Linked DNA regions of Arabidopsis thaliana. The protein of the gene in region 1 purifies or fractionates together with the protein of each later gene. This does not show direct contact. Each region holds a gene or a part of one and is shown on either strand. Other genes may lie near its edges.

What was found.
Region 2: the proteins of AT5G15750 (region 1) and AT4G28450 fractionate together in Arabidopsis thaliana (co-fractionation; one large-scale study listed by BioGRID). This does not show direct contact.

What each region holds. Positions count from the first base shown.
Region 1 is NC_003076.8:5,138,952-5,143,417, forward strand, and holds AT5G15750 (Alpha-L RNA-binding motif/Ribosomal protein S4 family protein), read left to right. Parts: upstream 1-2,083; 5' UTR 2,084-2,327; intron 2,328-2,486; 5' UTR 2,487-2,497; coding exon 2,498-2,631; intron 2,632-2,752; coding exon 2,753-2,860; intron 2,861-3,339; coding exon 3,340-3,414; intron 3,415-3,518; coding exon 3,519-3,750; 3' UTR 3,751-3,939; downstream 3,940-4,466. Other genes in the region: PSRP3/2 (Ribosomal protein PSRP-3/Ycf65), read left to right, coding at 4,149-4,415.
Region 2 is NC_003075.7:14,060,740-14,066,451, forward strand, and holds AT4G28450 (WD repeat and SOF domain-containing protein 1), read right to left. Parts: upstream 3,970-5,712; 5' UTR 3,844-3,969; coding exon 3,778-3,843; intron 3,696-3,777; coding exon 3,606-3,695; intron 3,518-3,605; coding exon 3,406-3,517; intron 3,320-3,405; coding exon 3,292-3,319; intron 3,177-3,291; coding exon 3,078-3,176; intron 2,998-3,077; coding exon 2,928-2,997; intron 2,847-2,927; coding exon 2,812-2,846; intron 2,725-2,811; coding exon 2,650-2,724; intron 2,564-2,649; coding exon 2,468-2,563; intron 2,367-2,467; coding exon 2,303-2,366; intron 2,199-2,302; coding exon 2,145-2,198; intron 2,042-2,144; coding exon 1,956-2,041; intron 1,859-1,955; coding exon 1,733-1,858; intron 1,619-1,732; coding exon 1,513-1,618; intron 1,343-1,512; coding exon 1,254-1,342; intron 1,148-1,253; coding exon 985-1,147; 3' UTR 664-984; downstream 1-663. Other genes in the region: AT4G28440 (Nucleic acid-binding, OB-fold-like protein), read left to right, coding at 38-231; AT4G28460 (uncharacterized protein), read left to right, coding at 5,344-5,562.

The DNA.
Region 1 (4,466 bases):
TTAACCACAACTTTGTCTTGTTCATATTTTATTTTACAAAATTGGCTAAAATCACATTCTATTTATTTATGAGTTTTAAAATATAAATTAGATTTTGGTGATATTCAATTTATAATATTTTAATAAATTTTCAGTAGTCTCTCTAGAAATATACAAGTTTTTTTAATGTACCTCTAAATATTTTAAAATCAAGAAAATCAATCTAGATATGGTTCTTTATAAGAAAGTACACAAGCCAACAAACACTCGTAGTCTCGTAGATGTTTTTATCAAGTATATATATATACATTCATTATACTATTTTCAAATCGTTGGTAAATCAACTGATAATTTTTTTTTCCTATCCATTATATATAAAACAAATATAAATATGTCGCCTATTACATCATAAAATTTGAGGAAGTAAAAAAAAAATTGAAATTTCAAACCTATCAACTAAATTTTCTGATTTAACAGATTTAATTTATTTTTATTTTTTTAGTTTAAAAAAACTCATTCATTAAACATGTGAAAGTGACTAACCACGATGTCTAGCTGTAGCGGCAGTTTAATAAAGCTTTAAGCAATGATCTCGCTCGCCGGCCAAGTTTAGAAACAATGAAAGATCAAATTGAATGATTTGTTTTCTTTTGTCATTCGTGAAGACAATTTAAAAAGATACACGTGTAGATGTGAGGTTATGAACAGGTTATTGTTTTAAAACACAGCATTATATCAGCCAATATATATCAATATATAGACGATGTTCGGTCCAAAAATCTAGATCAATCTCCTTCATGTTTGCTATTCGAAAATGATTGTTATTTATATCAAATCGTGCGTGTAACATCGATTGATAAATATTGGAAATTTAAGTAAAGGCCAATTGTCACGTAATGACTTGAAAGCATCTCCAATGTAATTCAGTATTTATTTCTTTTCACTTGACGATAGAAGAATTTGATTAGAGATGAGTTACTTATTGAGCGAATTAATGTACGTTATTTTCTATGACCATATACATTCCACCGACATCGGACATTACACTGCTGTCGGAACTTAATGATTTATTTTTCTAAATACGAATACATTTCTCCAATGGAAAAAATCTAAGAGTTTTAAGATTTTTCTATAACTGTAATTGTCATTTCAACGAAGAGTTTAAGAAGAAAACAGAGAGAAAAGCGTGTAAATATCTGTAGTTTTAATCAAATGGGTCATTTCTATTTCAGTCTATATATTTAATCAAAATTGCAATTCACAAATTTTAATGCTTACGTATTTTAAGTAACATTAAATGAACATCTTCGTCCTAAAAGTTACTTGATATTAATAGAAAGGTAAAGTAACAGAACAAAGCATTAACGATATATTTATATTTCAAAACTTACACACAAGTATTCAGAATTAAGAAAAGAACAAAACAAATAAAGGAGACGTTTCTGCGATTATGTTTTTGCTTGAAATAGAACAAACAAACACGTATTGGTAAAGAAACCAATAACTTTGAAGATAGCTTAAACGCAAAATATATAGTGAAAAAAGGGAAATCAACAATTATTATATATCCCCACGAAACTCGGTGTCGGTGGCTCAATCATCTTAACACTCTAAACTTTTAAGCCCATTCGTGCGCATGCGTGTATGTATATACGTGTGCATTGGATTTGAAATTTTGGTCGTTATCGAGAGTTCTAGTAGATTATGCATTTTGTGTAACAAGTGTAATATAATTGGGACCCTTTATTACTTTCTATAAAACTTAATTCTTTTAACCTATAGATCACCCGTTTGTCAATTATATCAATCAAGGGTCCCTTATTAGCTGCATTTTCCGATCGATAATAGAGAAGATCATCCAATGCTTTACAATCACTTCCATGCGACCTCACATACAATTACTTCCATTGCATAGTATGTAGTAAAACTATATATTTTGCTTCCAATGGATTTGATGCTTGTTTATGCTTAGAACTTCCAAATAATCTTTTTTAACGTAGCGAATTGATTTTGCATTCAAAGCACCCTTAGTAAATCCGTTTCCTAGTCTAGTCCCATAATTAAGGTAAAATCTACATGGGCTTCTCAGGCCCATAATGAGAAGTTTAAAAGGCTCAACTCAACAAGATTTAGTTATGCTAAGGCCTTACAAGTTACAATCAAACAGAGGATAGGGACCGTCGGATTTATCTGACTTCCTCTCCTTCGATTAGGGTTTCTGAATTACTACTCCTCTGCCAATTAGGGTTTAAGCCTCTCCAGCATTTTCTTTCAGCTCAAACCCAAGAACCTCATCGCCGATTATTTCTTCATCCTTACTCTATCCCGCGCCGATTAATCTCTCTCAGGTAAACTACTTCAATTTTACTCATAGACTAATTGTACAGAGATTGATAAATCCTATGTTGTTCCCATTAGAATGTTCAAGGGTTTATGATTATTCAGGATTTCAAATCTGAATTATTGGACAAATAAACCCTAATTTCGTATAATTTGCATATCATCAGTACCGTCCGAGATGAGAAAGCTCAAGTATCACGAGAAGAAGCTTATAAAGAAAGTAAATTTCTTAGAATGGAAAAGAGAAGGTAACCATCGGGAAAACGAGATTACGTATCGATACCACATGGGCTCTCGTGATGATTACAAAAAGTTGGTACCTTTATTTGCTCTTAAAGCTCTGTTCTACTTATTCTTCTTCTTCTGGTTCGAGTGTTTTGTGATGAACAATGGTCTTTTTCTGATTCTTGAGAATGTTTTTTCTTTTGGGCAGGTATTCAGGATTGTGTAGGATGGTGCAGAAACTGACGAATATAATGAAACAAATGGATCCAGCAGATCCTTTTCGTATTCAGATGACTGATATGCTTTTGGAGAAGCTGTGAGTTTTTTAAATATATATACCAGTTTGTTCAAGTATAGAGCTTATTACAAGCAATGGTTCTTTGTTTTCTCTAGATTTAGGTCGTAGAACATGAGACTTGATCATTTTCTGCAGTTTTTTACACCGATCTTATCTTAGAGACCTCCTGTTGTTTTTCTTGTTAACCACTTTTAGAGATAATTAAAATTGGGGGTCCTTATGCTTCTATATAGATTTTAGGACCGTTGGTTTGAAATCCATTAGAGGTTGAATTCATCCTGGTAAAATGTGTGATCTAATGGGTTTCTTTCAGAATCTGTTTCTTGAATAGCTTCTACATAGAGCTAAGTTACTATATAATATAGGCTTATTGTATAGGGAAAAAGAGCCATCCTACTGAAACTTGTTGATTGCGTAGTTCCACTCTGCAATGAGAAAACTTGTTCTCTTAATGGCTGACTGACTTGTGTTTCTTACATGTACGCTTGAAACGGCAGATATAACATGGGTGTTATACCGACTAGGAAAAGCTTGACTCTAACTGAGCGGTTATCAGTTTCATCCTTCTGTAGGTAAGAGTATATGCAAGAGCCTATATAGGCAGTTACTTAAACCCTTGATAGCCAAATGTTCTCATTTCGTTTGCCTCATATCGGTTCTTTTTTTTTATTTGCAGGCGTAGGCTATCTACTGTGCTGGTTCACCTGAAGTTTGCAGAGCACCACAAAGAAGCTGTGACATACATAGAGCAAGGACACGTTCGTGTAGGACCAGAAACAATTACTGATCCAGCTTTCTTAGTAACTCGGAACATGGAAGATTTCATCACTTGGGTTGATTCATCCAAGATTAAACGAAAGGTTCTTGAGTACAATGACACATTGGATGATTATGACATGCTTGCTTAGCTTTGAGGAAGTTAAAAAAGACTGATGTTTTGTAAAAGCCAAAAAAGGTTCACTGCTACTACTATTGCAGGGTTTGTTTGGATTTTTGAATATGCAAATGTGCTACTATTCCCTTGTCTTTAATCTTACTTTCGATCTATTTGCAAGAAGAAACTTGAAAACAAATGTCATGAAAATATTGAATCTAACTCATATTATCGTCAAATTGTATAAGTTGGAGCCACAGAAATGGATGAACATAAAATATTAAATCTAATTATTATTTGACACTTCAAATTACAAAACCCGTTTGATTCGATCCGACCCGACCCGACCAGAAAATCGCAAAACCTGTGTTTTTGCTTTCCCCGGTCTCTCAAAATAAAATTGCTCGCTTAGAAGCTTCAAACGCAGCTGAAATGGCGGTTCAAGCAAATCAGAGTGCTTCTTTTGGGTTCAGAACAGCTTCACCTTCTCAGAAGCTCTCTTCGAAACCCATAGCTCATATCTCTCTATCGACGAAGCTCAAACCCTCTTCTCGACCATCGCTTTCGTGCTCTACTTGGAATCAGGGTCAAATTCCGGCGAGACACTCCTGTATCAATCCCGGAATATTCGCATATCCCCCCTCCAATCTTACCTTCTCTCATGAACTACCAGAATCTGAATCTCCGCCACTTGGAAAGGTCAGTCATCGTCAAAAAACTTCTCTTGGAACAAATTGGGGTTATAAGCTT
Region 2 (5,712 bases), on another chromosome or scaffold:
TTATTGGTTTTTTTTGTGTGTGTGTGTGTGTGTATAGTTGATCTTATGAAGCCGGGTGCTACGGTGATACTGCGCAATTCAAGGATAGACATGTTCAAGGGTACAATGAGGCTAGGAGTTGATAAATGGGGACGCATCGAAGCCACTGGAGCCGCGTCTTTCACTGTCAAGGAGGATAACAATCTGTCTCTCGTTGAGTATGAACTGATCAATGTTGGTGGTGATCAGTGATCTTTTAGTATGTTTATGGAGGTTAACCCCTGAGAGTGTTGGGTTCTGATTTTTCTACCGTGAAGGTCTTTGATTTAGATGATGAAGATTGTATGACTGGTCCAGAGTTGCTTGTAGGAATATGCTTCTTCTTTTTTACCCTAAAATATGCGGTCATGATCTTGCTCTGGAGAACTATTGAGCCTGCGGTAATGGCGTAATGCAATTGTTCCTTTTAATTTGTGTTGATGTAAGTTAAAGACCATTGAGAGCTTGCTTGTGCACTATCTAATACAGTAAAAATAAGTTTTTCTTTCTTAAACTTTACTAATGTCTTTGTTTTTTCATTAATTACTATTTGATGTACACTATTGTACCCTCTCGGTTACAGAGAGTTTTGCCCAACTTTTTACATCGAAAGCATCTCATCCTTGATTAATGTCATTGTTAAGACAAATTGTAAGTGCATAAAATTCATCGACGGATCATAGAACCATTGTCTAGTTAAGTCGGTCTAATTCCAAACTTTATAAATCTTTGAAATCAGAATGTTACTTTGAAGATCAGCTTTGTAACACCAAAAACGAATAGTTAATGAACACAATACGTAGTGAAGAGAAAAAAGAAAACGAAATGGGTAATAACTTAATGGCATAAAGAAAGGCTTACAACACAGCAAAAATGTTCATGTTCCTAATCTTACCCTCACTATACCAATACAATCCTCTCCACGTATCATCATCCTTGAAAGGAACAAACGGAGAAAGAGTAGAGTCACTCCACTTCTTTGATGATCTTTCTTTTGCGCAGAGGTGCTGTGACCACTGTTCCTGGAGCACTGTGAGCTTTCCTTCGTGCTTCTTTTCTTCTCTTCGAATCGTTCACAGTTCGAATGATACCCATCGCTTTGTATATTGGTTTTGGCAAGTGCCTGTGTCTGTAATTCACAATAACCAAAACGTTACCATGTTACTATAGTTATCTTTTGACAATCTCCAGAGTTAAAGCATGGGATAAAACCACAGTTTTCATTGGTCATTTACCTCACAATGCGCTTAACCTCAGAAAGATGCTTGTACCGGTTCTTCACAGCCTCGTTGTACTCATGCTTCTTTTGTTCCCTTGGAAGAATCTGCAGCACAACACACCAATTAACATTGACAATTCACCGTTCCAAGTTAAAACTTCTTAAGAAAGCATGTACGAGTAATATCTCATAATCATATGCACTATTGGATCAACTGCTAAGCCTGTGGTAACTCTTTTTTGGTCTTTATTTTGTATAAATTCACAGAATCTTACAACTCCCAATTGCTCTGATGCCTTTGCCTTCCATAGCCTGAGATTGGTGTCATCACTGCCCGATATTACATATGTAGCATCACAGCTATATTTGACACAGAATACTCTACAAGAAAAAAGAAATGAAATTTAGAAATTGCTTAGACTAAATCAAATTACCAAGGTGGTACACTAGAACATCTGAACTTGAAGTATATATAGACTGTTCAGTAGATTGTACCTCTGCATCCTCTTTGTATGGTAGATTTCCCTGCTGTGTCCTCCATTGTATGGGAAGATTCTCACAGATCGATCATAAGAACCCGTAACAAACTCACGACCAGTCGGTGAAAAGTCAATATCCATCCTGAAAAATGATGAAATTAGATAATCATAATGCATTTGGATGATATCTTGTTAAATATTATAGCTGATACTTGAGATAAATCATTCTTCATTCTTACACTGCAGAAACATGATCTTTATGCACGCACTTGGCTTCGTCCAACTTTCTACCATCAAAGCTATAGCAACTTCCATCTTCATTAGCCTATTCAGTTTCCCCATGGGATAAAATTAGCACATAAGCAAAAGACAAACGCTGATTTAGCATAGCCCATCACAGAAAAATTCACTTTATGATTATCACTTACAGCTGTCAGGTTCATAGGCTCCATGGGGTTCCATGCAATTGAATTTGTTTTTGTCTGCCAAAAGAAAAGCAATTAGCAGACCACGGTTGCAATTGTTTAGTTTGAAGGGTATTAATGATTAAATATGACGAGAATATGTAAAAAAGTTTCAACTATACCATCATGATAATTTTCCTTGCCGCAGAAGACAAGCGGAGATCATATATGGTTATGCTCCGGTCACTGGAAGAAGAGATATCCCCTTACAGTGTTAGAGAAAGCTCTGGAAGGTGTAGCACAGACAATTACATGACATATACAAGTATAAAGTAGAAAGAATATACCTAGCTGATGTAGCCAATAAATTAGGCTCTCCAGGATTAAACCGAACAGATATTACAGAGTCAGTTCCCCACTGGAAACTCTGAACTGGCTGAGACCTAATTACAAAAAGTAAAACCATAAGCCCTGCTTACGTAAAATTAAAACAAACACCAAAGATTTCTTTTAGCAGGAGCCTGAGTACCTATTATGATTCCATATATCAAGTTGAGCTCCGGCCGTAGCAAAAAGGTCACCTTCAAACTGATGATCAACAGCCCTAGAAATGACAAAAAGCTTAGTAACTCAAGTTTTTTGTACCAACAGAATCATGAGAAATCGCATAAAGAGTGTGTACGAAGTCTACCAGAAAGCATTCTTCCAGACATAGGTTGCAGATGGCTGAAAAAATAGTTTGTTAAAAGCTTGTAGTTATATACCAGCAAGAGAAAGCTCCAGATAATACAATATTGAAAGAACTACCTCAATGAAATTCTCAGATGAAATGCTAGAATCTTCAAGTGAAGGACGAGGAACATTCCACAAACGAACACTGCACAAATCCATTAACCTTAGTTTAACAGCCAAAAATCTGATCACCGACTGGAACAATAAATTGTTATTATATCTTACGTGCAATCAGTTCCGCATGAAACCAATACATTTCCATCGGTTGATGCAGTAAGACCACGCACAGCACCTTGATGACCAGGGAATTGGCAAACTGTACGCCTGCATGTTTCAAGTTCCAGAATTCATTTACCAAAAGCACAGCACAAAGCAAAGCCTTTAATACTAAATGAAGTTCAAATTAATTCAGAGGGGATTTCGTTTTCAAGATTTTAACCTTGAAGAGATATCCCAAAGGCGAATATCTGCAGAGAAGAAAACGATACATAGTATCAGTAACATCAATGGATACAAACAACCAGCTTACATAAATATGCCATTAGATAATTACCTCCATCCATAGAAGCAGAGAAGATTCCTTTGAGGTAATTTGGGTTCTTCGCCATACATGAGACTCCATCACGATGACCATCCATTGCTCCAACAAACGGCCTTGCAAATATCTACAGAAAAACAAAAACAGAGCCAAATTTGGGGACTGCTCCATAACTAAACAACACAGACAATCAAAATTGAAACTCAAGAGCACACCTTTTCTAATTTGGCAGCTGTAAGAGCTCTCTGGTATTCCACGGCCTTCTCCATAGGTCGAAGACTTGGGTCGAAGTTGTGAAAGACCCTCTGGAAACGAATTGATAATGTTATTGATAGTCTAAAGCTAAATTTTGTGATATGGGAAACGAATTGGATATGCAAAAATTACCTGAAGATCCTGACTTCTTTCTCGAGTGTATTCATCAACCGATCTTGATAACGTCTTAATCTTCATTGCTTAATACTACAAAAAGGTCACGACGAAGACTAACGGGGAAGAGAGACACAGAGAGATACAGAGTCAAAAGTGAGCTAAGTTCTCCAGACAGAAAAACCCTAGATGAGAGGTTTTGGGAGAGGTGACGAATCTGAGATGGGCCTAACTTAAAAATATTTAGTCCTTAATGGGCTTTTTATAATTTATTATAATTGGCCCAAAAGTTACTATTGCAAAACTTGCTCGAGTTTAAGTTTTTCTGTTACAAAATGCGGGACATTTACAAGGTTAGTGTTTAATAATTTATCAAGGAGTTGAGTTCTTTAAAATCATGAATTCGAGTACGGCCGATAACAAATAATTGATTCAAACTATTTAAATCTGTTTTGATCCAATCCGAAGATGTTATTGTAAACAAAACTCTGAAGAATTCTCTGGTTACCTAAAATGCATGACTTTGAATACAATATCATTACCGTTGGACTTTTACTAGTAAAGTTGGTTAATACAAGACTATTCTTCAAATTTGGACAAGTCAAGATTCTCGTGTTTTGAATTTTAAGGTTTCTTATAATTAAACAGTCCTTTAAAATATAGTTGAATTCAAAGAACACTCATATGCTTGTATACATTTTATACTATTTAGCAACAAACTCACACAAGCTTTTCAAGTATTCAAATAGGAAAAAACCACCTACCAAACACTTTACTTTGTTCTCTAACTACTTATATACCTACTAACGCAGTTGATACGTAATTTTATCTTACATTTCAACCTTTTTCATTAACTCATAATGGATTATTGTCCACTCAAACTACACTGACAAGAGAATTATTTAAGTGAAACTGTGAATTGGTCCTCCTACGGTACTTTTATTTAGTCAATGGTAACTTACGCGTTAAGTTTCAAATTTCATATAAGACTTTTCAGAACGAAATTATGCCTATGATATATTGCGAAATTTCTTGAAATATTTTATTGATATGTGATTCTATTAAAATAAATAGCTTAAATAAGAATTGTATCTTTGAAAGATACAATTGCTATCAAATGATCTAGTATAAATTAATCATTGGTACCGCGTAAACATCTTGATAAAATTGCATCAATTAGTTTTTCGAATAAAACACTTGTTTTTAAAAAATTTATGTGTAAATATAATTTCGTTAACAAAATTCTCATTGATTATTTTTTACCTCTAAAAAACTAAAAACCACCAAAATGGGTATAAATGTAATTTGGCACATCGTAAAGTGTCATAAGAGCGACCCGTTCAAGTCATAATACTTGGTCAACACGCAAAATCGTGAGCTAGCGCCGGGAAAACCCGACCTAAGTGATGAACTCTCTCAAGTCATGACCGCTTCCTCGTCAAATAACTATAAATATTCCCTCTCATTTATTTGATTTCCCACATAACCATATCTCTTAATTTTCTTTGATATCAAACAAAAAAAAGGCTTCTGTTTTATTTTATTACTTGTCGGTACAACATAAAGAAGAGAAAGTAAAATACGATGAGAAGAGTTAGTTGGTCTACTGTTTTGATTGTGGTTGTGATGGTGTCGTTGTTTTTCGTAGAACACGTGGTGGTTCCGGCTGCGGCGGGGAGGGTTCTTACTGAAAAATCGGGAGATGGAAGTGCGACTATGACGGTGGAGAAGATGAAATCGACGGTGGATTCTTGGTTTCAGCGTTTGGCGTCGGGTCCAAGTCCAAGAGGTCGCGGCCATTAAATTTTCCTTTTTTACTTTTTTTTTCCTGGCCGGAGGAGATTAATTAATCTCGATATACCCCATATGTATACCAGAACAAACGGTGAAAACTGTATTCCATTCATTTATTTCATTATTTGTTTTTTTTTTCTTTAGGCAAAGTTCATATAG